2 linked regions of the Oryctolagus cuniculus genome follow. The protein of the gene in region 2 interacts with the protein of the main gene of each other region in a pairwise test. Links are inferred from orthologs where the notes say so. Each region holds a gene or a part of one and is shown on either strand. Other genes may lie near its edges.

Evidence for each region.
Region 1: the proteins of RAB2A (region 2) and TBC1D25 interact in binary tests that used the Homo sapiens proteins (3 or more experiments, as listed by UniProt). The link is inferred for Oryctolagus cuniculus from reciprocal best matches to the Homo sapiens genes RAB2A and TBC1D25.

Annotation. Positions count from the first base shown.
Region 1 is NC_091453.1:33,757,079-33,763,437, reverse strand, and holds the start of TBC1D25 (TBC1 domain family member 25), read right to left. Parts: upstream 3,485-6,359; 5' UTR 3,336-3,484; coding exon 3,213-3,335; intron 1,322-3,212; coding exon 1,212-1,321; intron 1-1,211. UniProt on the Homo sapiens protein: Acts as a GTPase-activating protein specific for RAB33B. Involved in the regulation of autophagosome maturation, the process in which autophagosomes fuse with endosomes and lysosomes.
Region 2 is NC_091437.1:85,904,354-85,910,559, reverse strand, and holds the start of RAB2A (ras-related protein Rab-2A), read right to left. Parts: upstream 3,951-6,206; 5' UTR 3,936-3,950; coding exon 3,824-3,935; intron 1-3,823.

The sequences.
Region 1 (6,359 bases), on a different chromosome or scaffold from region 2:
ACCAAGGAAGACCGTAATTTAGTTCCTTCCATCACCAACAAGCAAAGAGTGGGCTGCATCTGCGAAAGCACAATGGTGCTATCATCTGGTTCTCGCTGCACAAAGGTGACCCAGTGGTGCTCTAACTATGGACCTAACTTACAACGTGGAACCCATTATAAGCTGGTGCCTCACCCGGTGGCTGAGTCCCTGCACTAACTTAATTAAAATGTGCTATAAGACTTCTTTTTCCCGATAAAAATTAGCCATCATATTAGCTCCTCCTTCCCATTAAAAAAATTTTTTTTTTTTTAAGAAAAGTAATCTGGGGACCGGTGCTGTGGCATAGTAGGCTAAGCCTCCACCTGCAGCTCCAGCATCCCCTGTGGGCACCAGTTTGTGTCCTGGCTGCTCCTCTTCCAATCCAGCTCTCTGCTCTGACCTGGGAAAGCAGTGGAGGATGGCCCAAGTGCTTGGGTCCCTGCACCCACGTGGGAGACCTGGAAGAAGCTCCTGGCTCCTGGCTTCAGATCAGCTCAGGTCTGGACATTACAGCTGGAACCAGTGGATGGAAGAACTTTCTTGCTCTGTTTCTCCCTCTCTCTGTCTGTAACTCTACCTCTCAAATAAATAAAAACTTTTTTTAAAAAAGCAGTCTGTATGACTTTTATTTTTTACAACAAAAGTTTATGCCAAAAAGTCAAACAACATGTAGGGAATTCTTTTCAGATATACTTGTGCAACTGTGCAAAGAGGTATGTTATGCAATAATCTTAACCATGGAAACATCCTAAACATTCATCAATTCTGTCCTGTTTCAATGGGTTACCATGGGCCTGTATTCCTCTAAAACCACCACCATAACAAAATATAACCATAACACTTGCTCCCAAGAGACAACACTTTCCCCCTATTGGGTTGGCAAATTTTACAATGTTTTCTGGTAATCACTGTTTGTGAGGGGAGAAAGAAATAGGCATTTTATATGCTGCTGGTGTAGTTGTCAACTGGGAAGATATGCCCGGAAAGCACTTTGGAACTATCCATTTAATCTAGCAACAGCCCTGCTAGGAGTTTATCCTAACCCTAGACTTCCCCAGATACGCTAAGATACGCACACGTGGCTGTTCCCTGTGGCGTTATTTATAATAGCAAAACAAACAAAACGCGAACAAACAGTGAGCCAGCCGACGCTCGCTGCTGGGGCCAGTCTCTGGCATCCGCCTACTTACCCGTTCAAGTCAAAGGCCCGAATGAGGATGTGTTGTAACACGTCCAGCGAGGTGATCTGGGGGTCGACAGCGAAAGAGCGGAACTCAGGGGCCAGGAAATTCTCGTGTTTCTGGAGAGAGAAGACAGGGCAAGACCATCAGGGCCATGTTCAGCAAGCTGAAGAGTGTGGCAGGTGCAGAGCGGTAGAAAGCAAGGTCAAGGACATGGGGGGCCAGATCGAGGCGGGCCGTCTGGGCTGTAGTGAGGACTTTGGCTTTTGGCTCTGAGTGAGGGGCAGCTTTGGGAGGCTTCTGAGCGAGGAGGGATGTGGCGCGACTTAGGATTTAACAGGATCTTTCTGGCTGCTCTGCAAAGAGACTGCGGGGGCTGGGGGAAGGGGGAGGAGGGAAGCGAGGGGTCCAAGTGAGGGGGGTCTTTCAATAGTCCAGGTGTCTGATCCTTCTCGGTATCCCCCCACCCCAATTATGCTTGTCAGAATCCTCACATGCAGTCTGGCCCCTACTAAATCAGCCCTCCACTCTGCAACCAATCCAGCACATCTATTACAACCCTGCCCTGCTTCAATCCCTTCCATGGGGGCTGGCGTTGTGGTGTAGTGGGTAAAGACGCCGCCTGTGCCACCAGCATCCCATACACGTGCTGGTTCAAGTCCTGACCTCTCCACTTCCAAGTCAGCTCCCTGCTAATGTGCCTGGGAAAAGGCAGTGGAAAGTGGCCCAAGGGCTTGGGCACCTGCCACCCACGTGAGAGACCCGGAAGAAGCTGCTGATTCCTGACTTTGGCCTGACCCAGCCCTGGCCATTGCGGCCATCTGGGGAGTGAACTAGCAGATGGAAGCTCGCTCTCTCCTGCTCTCTGTAACTCTGAGTTTCAAATAAATGAATAAATCTTAAAAAAAAAAAAATCTCTTTGATGGCAACCCTAGGTCCGCAGCAGGAGGGCCTCAAGGGCCCTGGCTGGTCTTGCTCCAGTTTTTCTATTTACATTAACGTAGTTCCAGACTGTTGGAAGTTACCTTGAACACATCCTAGCCCCAGGCCTTTGGTGCGTGCTGATCCTCCTGTCTGGAACATCCTTCCCACTTGCTTCATGTACCACCTTCACAGCTCAGGCATCAGCTCTTTGCTGAATCCCCAAACCCCTGCCTTGGAGCTCTGTTATGCTGAAGGGATCTGTTGACCTTTTTCTGGCCACTGCCACTGCCATTGCCACCACAGGAGTCCAAGCAATCCCTGCTGCTCGCTGGAACTATTGCAACAGCTTTCTTCCTCAGAGTATACACCAAAGGCCTCCGCCACGTTCCTCCCCTTATGCCCTGAATTCACCTCCTACCTTTCTCCTCACTCTCTGCACCCCAGCGACATGGGGACCCACAGAACATGCCAAGCTCAGTCCCCCTGCCCCTCTTAGCCTTTGCCCTTGCTGGTCTCTGTGCTTGCAACACTTTTCCCGCCTGATATGCACAGGGCTGACCCCTTTGTGTTCTGACCTCTGCTCCTTCAATACCTTCTCTGGAGATTTCCCTGTACAACCTTGGCCAAGGTAACTTCTTAGCTCACAACCTTTTGCATTATTTCCTCATGGCAGTCACCAGGCTCCAAAGCCTCCCATTTATCCAGCTGTTCGTTCCTCCCCACAAGTATGCCAGCTCATCAAGGGTGGAGACCTGCACAAAAGTGCACTCTAAACACACACGTGTTGACTGACTTCAGAGCTCTCCTTGCAGAGGGCAACAGCACATTCCTCCTGGCTCAGGGCCCCACCCCTCAACTACTGCGGCCCCTCCCTCAACTCTACAGCCCCGCCCCTCTACTCATAAGCCCCACCCCTCTATTCCATAGGCCCCTATCATTCCATTATCAGTCCCAGGCCACAGGATATTTCTCTAAGGCTCCGGGTCTTCAAGCCCTCCCTCCCCACCCCCCATCATTCTTCTCTCCATCCTAAGGATACCACCATCTTCCCCTCCCCTGGGATGTCCGACCGGCCACTAGCCTCACCTTGACTCGGACCCGTACCACCTCTCGCTCCTCCTCCTCCGCCGCCGCTGCCGCCTGGGCTCCCCCGCCAGGCGGGGGCGCTCCAGAGCCGGCCAAGTCCGAGGACCCGGAGGTTGCTGCCATCCCGCCGCTGCCCCTTAGTGTGACAGCTGGCCGTTGCCCCCCACCTCTGCGCGCACCCTACAGTGCGGGCACCCGCTGCCCCACCTTGTGCCGGGGCGCAGGCGCAGAGGGCGCCACACAATTCTGCCCACCACAGCCCCTCCCATCTGGCCCAGGCTGGAGGTCAGCTCTGCTCATGCGCCTAGAATGCCGTTGCCAGGTGTCCCGCCCCCAAATCCGGGTATTTTGCCTCACTTCTGCCAATGCGCAGGCGCCAGGCGAAGCTCCGCCTGCCCTCGTTCCGCGGTTTGGTTGTTTTGGCAGTCTAGATCCGATTCACCTAGGTGAAGTGTTAAACTGGACATTCCGGAGATCGAAGTGGGCGGGGAAAAGAAGCTGCTGCGTGATGATGTCAAGGTTCGTTCTACACCCGCCCCCTGTCTGCCTCGCTCCCCTGCTGACAGATGATGTCATCTATTTCAAATACCTGCGTCTCTTGTTTCAAATGAATCTGGTGAACAAAAAAAAATCATTTTTCCAGTCTTTTAAAAAAATAATTTACACATGCAAATTCATAGACTTGTACGGTTATGATTGCTGCACTTTCTGTATGCGTGTTATACTTAAATAATTTACTCCGAAAATAACTTTTATGCTCTCTGAAGGGTCTTTGTTTTATTTAATTCTCTCAACACATTGAAGCTGAAGTCGGTCCTGTTATTAAACTGTGTGCATCCACCAAATATTTGTTGAATGGCGGCTGGCATTGTGGCACAGCTTGATACACCCGCATCCTGTATGGAAGAGCCTGGTTCAAGTCCCAGCCGCTCCAGCTTAATATGCCTGGAAGGCAGTGGATGATGGTCCAAGTACTTGGGTTCCTGCCACCCACAAAGAATACCGGGATGGAGTTCCTGGCTTAGACTTGACCGTGCCAGCATTTGGGGAGTGAAACAGCAGATGGAAGGTCTCTCCATCTCTCCCTCTCTTTCACCCTGCCTTTCAAATAAATAAATACATACTTTTAAAAAAAATCTGAATGATTGGGCATATCTTAGACTCTTGAGAAACTTTTTATTGCAAAATATAAAAAAGGCATTCCTCCCATTTCATTGCACAACATCAATGTGGTTTGGACAAAATACAGTTTGACCTTACAAATATTGTTTCTAAAAAAGAAATCATAATATGCCTGGACTTTGTAGCCTAAGAATCATAGATTAGGTTCAAATGGAAGCAAAGATAGGTTTCATTCAAGTGCAGAATAGATTGGCAAATCAGGAGACAAAGGTTCAGTTAGAAACCAAACAAGTATTCTGTCAAGGGTGAAAAGGACTGAATTTTTAAAGGGGAAAAAAGAGTACAATAAGGTGAGGTGTAGTAACTTGTTTTGAACAGTTTTTGACTGACCCTGTTAATCAAATTGTTTTGAATGCATGTAGATTGGTGCTGAGGATCTGTCCATGCATTAGCTATACATAACTGGTTGCTGAGCTGGTGGTGCTATTTTGAGGGAGTTATCAGTAGGCAATAAGTCTTTTTTAAAAGATTTATTTATTTATTTGAAAGTCAGTTACACAGAGAGGGGAGAGGTAGAGAGGTCTTCCATCTGCTGGTTCACTCCCCAAATGGCCATAGCTATGCCAGTCCAAAGCCAGGAGCCAGGAGCTTCCTCCGGATCTCCCACGTGGGTGCAGGGGCCCAAGGACTTGGGCCATCTTCCACTGCTTTCCCAGGCCATAGCACAGAGCTGGATCGGAAGTGGAGCAGCCAGGACTCGAACCCATATGGGATGCCGGAACTGCAGGCGGTGGCTCCACCTCCTATGCCACAGCACAGGTCCCAATAAGTCTTTTGAGACAGTTCCTAAATCAGCAGAAGTCCCTGGATTGGAAATTCTAGCAATCTGGGGGTTTATAAGCATATTCTTTCCAAACAGTATCCTTTGTCTGGAAGTTCAAAATGGAGGAACTCATGTCTGTGAGGTAAACTTGTAGCCTGTCAAAGTATAATCTGAGGCTCACAGAGAAACTTTGCTGTCTGTATTGACCAAACTGCAGCCATCATAATTGTTCTTTCCCACAAGTTGCAGTGCTGTGTGGTTGCTGCCCTTGTGGTTGACTTTGTCCACAAGTCTGAAATTCCATTTCAATATCTTTCAAAATGATTTGTTGCCTGGGTATTAATATTAAATACACATCTCTAGTTTTTGGAAAATATAAATAATAAGGAATTTTCTTTGAAAGTCAGAATAGGGAAAAAAAGAGAAAATCAGAAGAGGGTTATTGGCATGTCTCTCTTTGTCCCATATGCATGGAGTCAAAAGCAACTATGGCCCTGTTGGATTTCCTAAGTTTAAGAACTGGCTTCTCTTTTAAGGTATCATAGGATGAGATGAGCAAACCAGTAGCCTGGTGCTTACAGTTTATCCCGGTGGTAGTGGGGTACAGGTTTTAGACAGGGGCATGATGTGGTCAGATGCCTCTGCCTTGGTTGTGGAGAGAGCCTTGGACAGAAAGATACTGGGAGGAAGAAGTTCAAAAAGGAGATCTTTGCTATAGTCCAGGGGAGAACTTTTTCTTTCATTTGTTTATTCATTCTTCCATTTAACAAACATAAAGCATATGCTAGACAGTCTGCATATATTAATTCATTTAATCTGCATAAAAACCCTGTGAGGTAGGTGTCATTATCATTAGCTTTTTACAGATGAGAGCAACGGAAGACCAGGGGAAAACAAGCTCAAAGGCAAAGGGGTCATAAGTGGCACAGGAATTAGGCAGTTCAGTGAGCAGAAAGTGAGGCTTAATCTGGTGTGTTTGAGGAAGCGCAAGTAGGTCAGTATGTCTTTAAGTAGAATAAGCAATGAAGTGAGTTAAGGCGTATCAGATGAGAAAGTAATTAGGGTGAGATCATGCAGGACTTTGGTCTTAACAGTGAGGCATCTCTCCAAAGCTATACCATGGACCTGAGCAGACTCATAATTTAAACTGGAGGTAGGCTTCAAAACGGTTAAGATGCCTGCATCCCCTGTCGGAGTATCTG
Region 2 (6,206 bases):
AGCAGATGGGAATTCTCTCTCAAGCAAAACCAAAAACAAAAAGGACACAGGGCAAAGCCATGTTAAAGTAGATTAGAGTTATGCTTGACTGGCCGGCGCTGCAGCTCAATAGGCTAATCCTCCACCTTGCGGCGCCGGCACACTGGGTTCTAGTCACGGTTGGGGCGCCGGATTCTGTCCCGGTTGCCCCTCTTCCAGGCCAGCTCTCTGTTGTGGCCTGGGAGTGCAGTGGAGGATGGCCCAAGTGCTTGGGCCCTGCACCCCATGGGAGACCAGGAGAAGCACCTGTCTCCTGGCTTCGGATCAGCGCGGTGCACCAGCCGCAGCGCGCTGGCTGCGGCGGCCACTGGAGGGTGAACCAATGGCAAAAAGGAAGACCTTTCTCTCTGTCTCTCTCTCTCACTATCCACTCTGCCTGTCAAAAAAAAAAAAAAAAAAAAAAAAAGTTATGCTTGAAGCCATGAGAAGTTGGAAGAGGCAAGAAAGGATTCTCTCTGGAGCCTTCAAAAGATGCACAGCCTTGATAACACCTAATTTCAGACTTTTGGTTTCCAGAATGGTGAGAAAACAAATTTCTATAGTTTTAGTCCACCAGTCTGTGGTAATTTGCTACTATAGCCCTAGGAAATAATACACTAATTGAGTCATCTTTCAATACTCTTTCTCTTTAGACTTTCATATAGTTAATCTCCCATTCTTGTTGACTCCCTCTACAATAATTCCCAATGTAATCAGTAAAGTGATGCAAACACAAGATATATTGAGTGGTAAGAGAAAAGGAAATAGGAAATATAAAGCATTTATTTAAGAAGCTTGTCAATGAAAACTAGGAGGAAAAGGAAGAGAAAAGGAAGAGATAGTAATTTAAAAATTCCTGACTGAACGCATCCCTACTATGTTCCAGGCTGGTGTTTGGTACAGCAGTTAAGATGTCCCTTGATATGTGCATTTCAGATCAGACTGCCTGGGTCTGAGTCCCAGCACCATTTCTGATTGTAGTTTCCGGCTAGCGTGCACTCTGGAAGGCAACAAATGACAGCTCAAGGATGTGGGTCCTGGCCACCCATGTGGAAGACCTAGATTTAATTCCTACCTCCTGGCTTCAGCCTGGCCCAGTCCAGGCTATTGTGGGTATCTGGAGAGTGAACCAGTGAATGAGAAGATTTCAGAGTCTCTCTGCCCTCTGACTTTCAAATAAATAAAACTTTTAAAAAGTATTCTTTTTAAAAAATAAATTGAAGAAAATTCTCAAGCGAATGTATGTTTAAGAGTATAAATCTTTTCCCTAGAAATTGGAAAGTAATAAACAAGCATGCTGACATGGCTAAGGGAGCTAGCTGCTAAAGAATCAATTTTTTAAAAAAGGAAGTAAGATGATGTGGAAAACTGACTGCTCCCTCTTGATGCAAATCATCCACTACAGTTTCTGTGTCTTTCTTAAACAATACAAACGTACGCTTATTACTAAAACACTTTTGAGATGAGATCAAAGTCATGAAAATGAGTAAAGCAAAAAACAGCTGAAAGTCTATGTTCTCTTTTGGCAGTATCTCTAATACAGTGGGCCTTTGCACATATTTACTTGGTATTCTTTCTCCAATATTCAGTGACTTTTTGTCTACTTATCTGACGGATACTCATCTTTTAAGTCTTAACTTGAATGCCATATCCTCTAGGAAGCTTTCCATAACACAGAGTCTCTTCACAAACTGATTTTTAAGGAAGGAAATTGTCTGGCTATGGGTATATAACACAGTTGATTTGTCTTTTTTCAGGGAGGAAAACACAATATCCACTGCTGTCATTGCTAGGGAGGGGGACGGGAAGGAACACCAACAGGTTTTTGTGATTATCTTGCTCACCCGGAGTGTGGCATGAAATTCAAGAAACGAAATCCAAATCTGGGCTCTGACCAAAAGATAAATAAGCCAATGAAGTATAAAATTGACCTTAAAATAAGCCTATAAAAATCTCTAAGCACGTTATATATTCAGCAACTATTTGCTGGGCACCTACAATAAACCAATAAAGGTGAGTGGAGAAGAATTAGCTGGCCAGTTTATTCTTCACCCTATACTCTTTATAAAACCTCTATGAATTTAACTCCTTAAGTTCTGATTTTTTTTTTTCTGTCTCAAGATCCTATTTAGGATACTATATTATATCTGGTTGACATGTCTCCTTAGGCATCACTGGGCTGTTGACAGTTTCTCAGACTTCCCTCAATTTTCATGACCTTGACAGTTTTGAGTACACTGGTCAGGTATTTTGTTACATGTCCCTGTGTTGGAATTTGTCTTATTTATTTATTTGGCTGGGGTTATGGGTGTTTGTGAGGAAGACCAAAGACACAGACTGTTGTTTTCATTGTATCATATCAAGGATACATATCATCAAGATGATTGATCATTGTTAAATTTAACTTTCATGATTGGATCTTGGTGGCTTTATAAAAAGAGATTACACACACATAGACACACAGACACACACACACACCCCTTCTGCTATGATGCGAGGAAGGGGAGGACTCTCATCACAGACTATGTCATGCTGTTTGGACCTTACATCTCCAGAACCATAAGCCAAAATAAATTTCTCTTCGATATAAAGTTAGCATAACTCAGATATTTTGTTACAGTAATGAATAACTGACTAAAACACTTTCCTAACTAAAAAGAATGTCATCTCACTTTCCAGGTATTAGCAGCAATACTAAGGGAAAGAAATGAATATTCTAAGTGATATTCTAAATTTATGACAGGCCAGAAGCTTAATGAAGGATGGTATAAAACAATATATGCCATTTCCACAATGCCCACTTTATCCCAAATAATAACATTCCAGTAGGGTCACATAGATAAATCAAGTACCTTAACACATTTCAATCTAACCATTTTCCTAGACCTTTCATAAGATTCCAAATAAGAAATGCAACATCTCAGAAATATATTTCGTTGAAATAGCTTAAAGGGGATATCTTTTCATTATTCTATAGAAGGAAGAAGGTGTTTGGATATCAGTGTACAATATAAATTATTAAACAATAAATTGATTATATATTATCTCTACTATAGAAGTCTGTATCAAAGTTAAAGGCTTATAAGCAAAAAGATCTGATGTAATTGCCAGATTAAATCCAAAGAAGCCAAAAACATAATGTATTAAGAGTAACAAAAACTAGGCTGGCGCCGCGGCTCACTAGGCTAATCCTCCGCCTAGCGGCGCCGGCACACCGGGTTCTAGTCCCGGTTGGGGCGCTGGATTCTGTCCTGGTTGCCCCTCTTCCAGGCCAGCTCTCTGCTGCGGCCAGGGAGTGCAGTGGAGGATGGCCCAGGTGCTTGGGCCCTGCACCCCATGGGAGACCAGGAAAAGCACCTGGCTCCTGCCATCGGATCAGCGCGGTGCGCCGGCCGCAGCGCGCCGGCCGCGGCGGCCATTGGAGGGTGAACCAACGGCAAAAGGAAGACCTTTCTCTCTGTCTCTCTCTCACTGTCCACTCTGCCTGTCAAAAAAAAAAAAAAAAAAAAAAGAGTAACAAAAACTGCCATATTCTCATAGACTAGGCATCAGTTGATATAGACAACTAATGTTGAGTTCAGCTTGTTACAGTCAAGTACATGAATTATACATCAAGCTAAAAATAAAATATTCTAAGGCCACAGTTTTAATGGAAGGCAATTTGTTAATACCTATCAAAATGCATATACCAGCTGACCCAGAAATTTAAATTCTTAGACAAATGTACAAAAATGTCAACAGCAGTGTAACAGTATTCCTCAACAGATGTACACTGATAATGTCTAGCAATAGAGCTTCAGAATACCTTTCTCTGAGCTCTCTGGTAGCCAGGGCAGAGACACATGACCAAGGCTGAACCAAGCAGACATTCCTCTCAAGAATTTGGAATCTTGAGAGACCATCAAAAGGTAATCCATTGTGGCTACAAAGGAGATGGAAGTTCAGCAGAATCCAGTGGTATATTCCCAGCATTTTCTTAATCAGGGTGTAATAGACATCAGGAATTTGGCTTGGCCTTGCCTACTTTCAAACCTGATTCTACTGCCTTCCTATCAGCTCTGTGAACCAGCCAATCTTTGCAATAAAATCTTCTGCTCAGCATAAATGTTTCTGTTTTTTGCTACCACAGACCCAGACTAACAGAATCAGGAACTGATTAAATTAATTATGTTCATCTATGGGGGGGGGGGTTAAAAATTAGATTTATATGCAGTAAAATAGAAAAGACATCAAAGATTTACCCATAAGTGAAAAATATGAAGGTGTAGCACAGCACTAGATATATAATACTAACAGGATTGGGACACACACACACACAAATGCACACATTTACAGATACACAGAAAATTTGTAGCAGGATACATAAATCATCCTTTACCAAACTTACATAGGTAAAACTTAAAGAACATAAAAATATGTAAGTTTTAAAAAGAATCTACTTTAATATCAATAATATATAGGCAATACTTACTAACCTTGTCCAACTACCTCCATAGGGAAGTAGCATTTAAAAAACCAGCAATACTTCCAATGTTTTAAAAAACAGCTACATTAAATTTTCATCTGCTAAGCAATTACAAGGAGGTCTGCAAATAAAACAATACATTGTGAAACAGAAGATTTTGACTTCCTTCTCTCTCCCCCCACCAAACCTCTCTGAGTAATACTACTAAGTAGTTACTTTTTAGTAAGACCTAATCATGGGTAAGGCTGCAAATGCACACATTCACATTTACTCATCCTTGAATCCAACATGATTTTCGGCTGCCTAAATTCTCTAAGAAATCTTTACAAGAATGAGAAAAAGAGACAAAAAAGGCGGAAAGAGCTCATTTAATTACTATTAAAAATCTAAGTTAAGGGTAGAAAATTTATCCCATTTAGAAAGTGGGAATGTGGCTCCCACCCTGAAGCTCACCAGAGGATAAAAAACCAATCTCTTAAACTATGTCACAAAATACTCTTCGCAGTATGGTCCCAATATTTCTTCAGTCTTTTTTTTTTTTTTTTTAAGGATTTACTTGAAAGGCGGAGTCAGAGAGAGGGAGAGACACAGACACACACACACACACACAGAGAGAGGGAGAGAGAGAAAGAGAGAGAGAGAGAACTTTCCATCCACTGGTTCACTCCCCAAAGGGCCAGAATGGCCAAGTGAGCCAGGCTGAAGCTAGGAGCCTGGAACACCTTCTAGGTCTCCCATGTGGGTGACAAAGGCCCAAGCACTGAAGCCATCATCTGCTGCTTTCCCAGATGCATTAGCAGGGAGCTGAATCAGAAGTAGAGCAGCCAGGACTTGAACTGGCACTTGTACATAATGCCAGAGTCACAGGAAGCTTAACCTGCTATGCCACAATGCAGGCCCCTATTCCTTTAGTCTTTACCCCCACTCACCACAAATCCTGTCAAAAACTGTTTACTGCCACACTTTGTATAACATTCCTAGTATGAAAGTCATTAAAACTTCTTTGCAAAAAAAAGTGTGAACTCAGCTCTGTTGCCTCCTCACATAACTAATATAAGTCAGAGAAATATATATATTATATATATAAAATATATACCCAAAGAGATATATTATCCAAATATAAAAATATATTATATTGTATATTAATATATAATGCATACTTATATATAATTACATAATATATGATAAATATGTATTTATATAATATATAAAATATATTATCCAAAGAGATAAAATATATATAATATTAAGAGAAGAGCATAAATTCCATAGGATTGTTAGGTGGGGGATCATTCAGACAAATTAGACCATGCCCAAACATTTCATTTCCAAAATGGGGTTAATAGTAACCTAAGATTACTTCAAGAATATGTATGAATGCTACTCCGTGCTATTCAGCATCCAGAAGGTGCTTAACACACGTGTACTGAAAATCTAAATCTGTTGAGTCATTCAGTACAGTCAAAATCTTCTTCTTGCCCTTCATGTACTTTGTACACATCTATTATATTTTCTTGTTAATTATTGTGGCAAACTGTCCTTCCCTTTAGGGGACAACAGTTCTGTTCGCTTTTCTAACTCCAGCACATAGACTGCTCACAACAGTATTTTACATTTCTTTAAAAATGAAAAAAAAAATCACTCCAGTCGTCTACCCTTTGCATAAATTTCATCTCCTAACTCCTAATCCGTGTCCATCAAACCCATGCTTGAATGCCTCCAG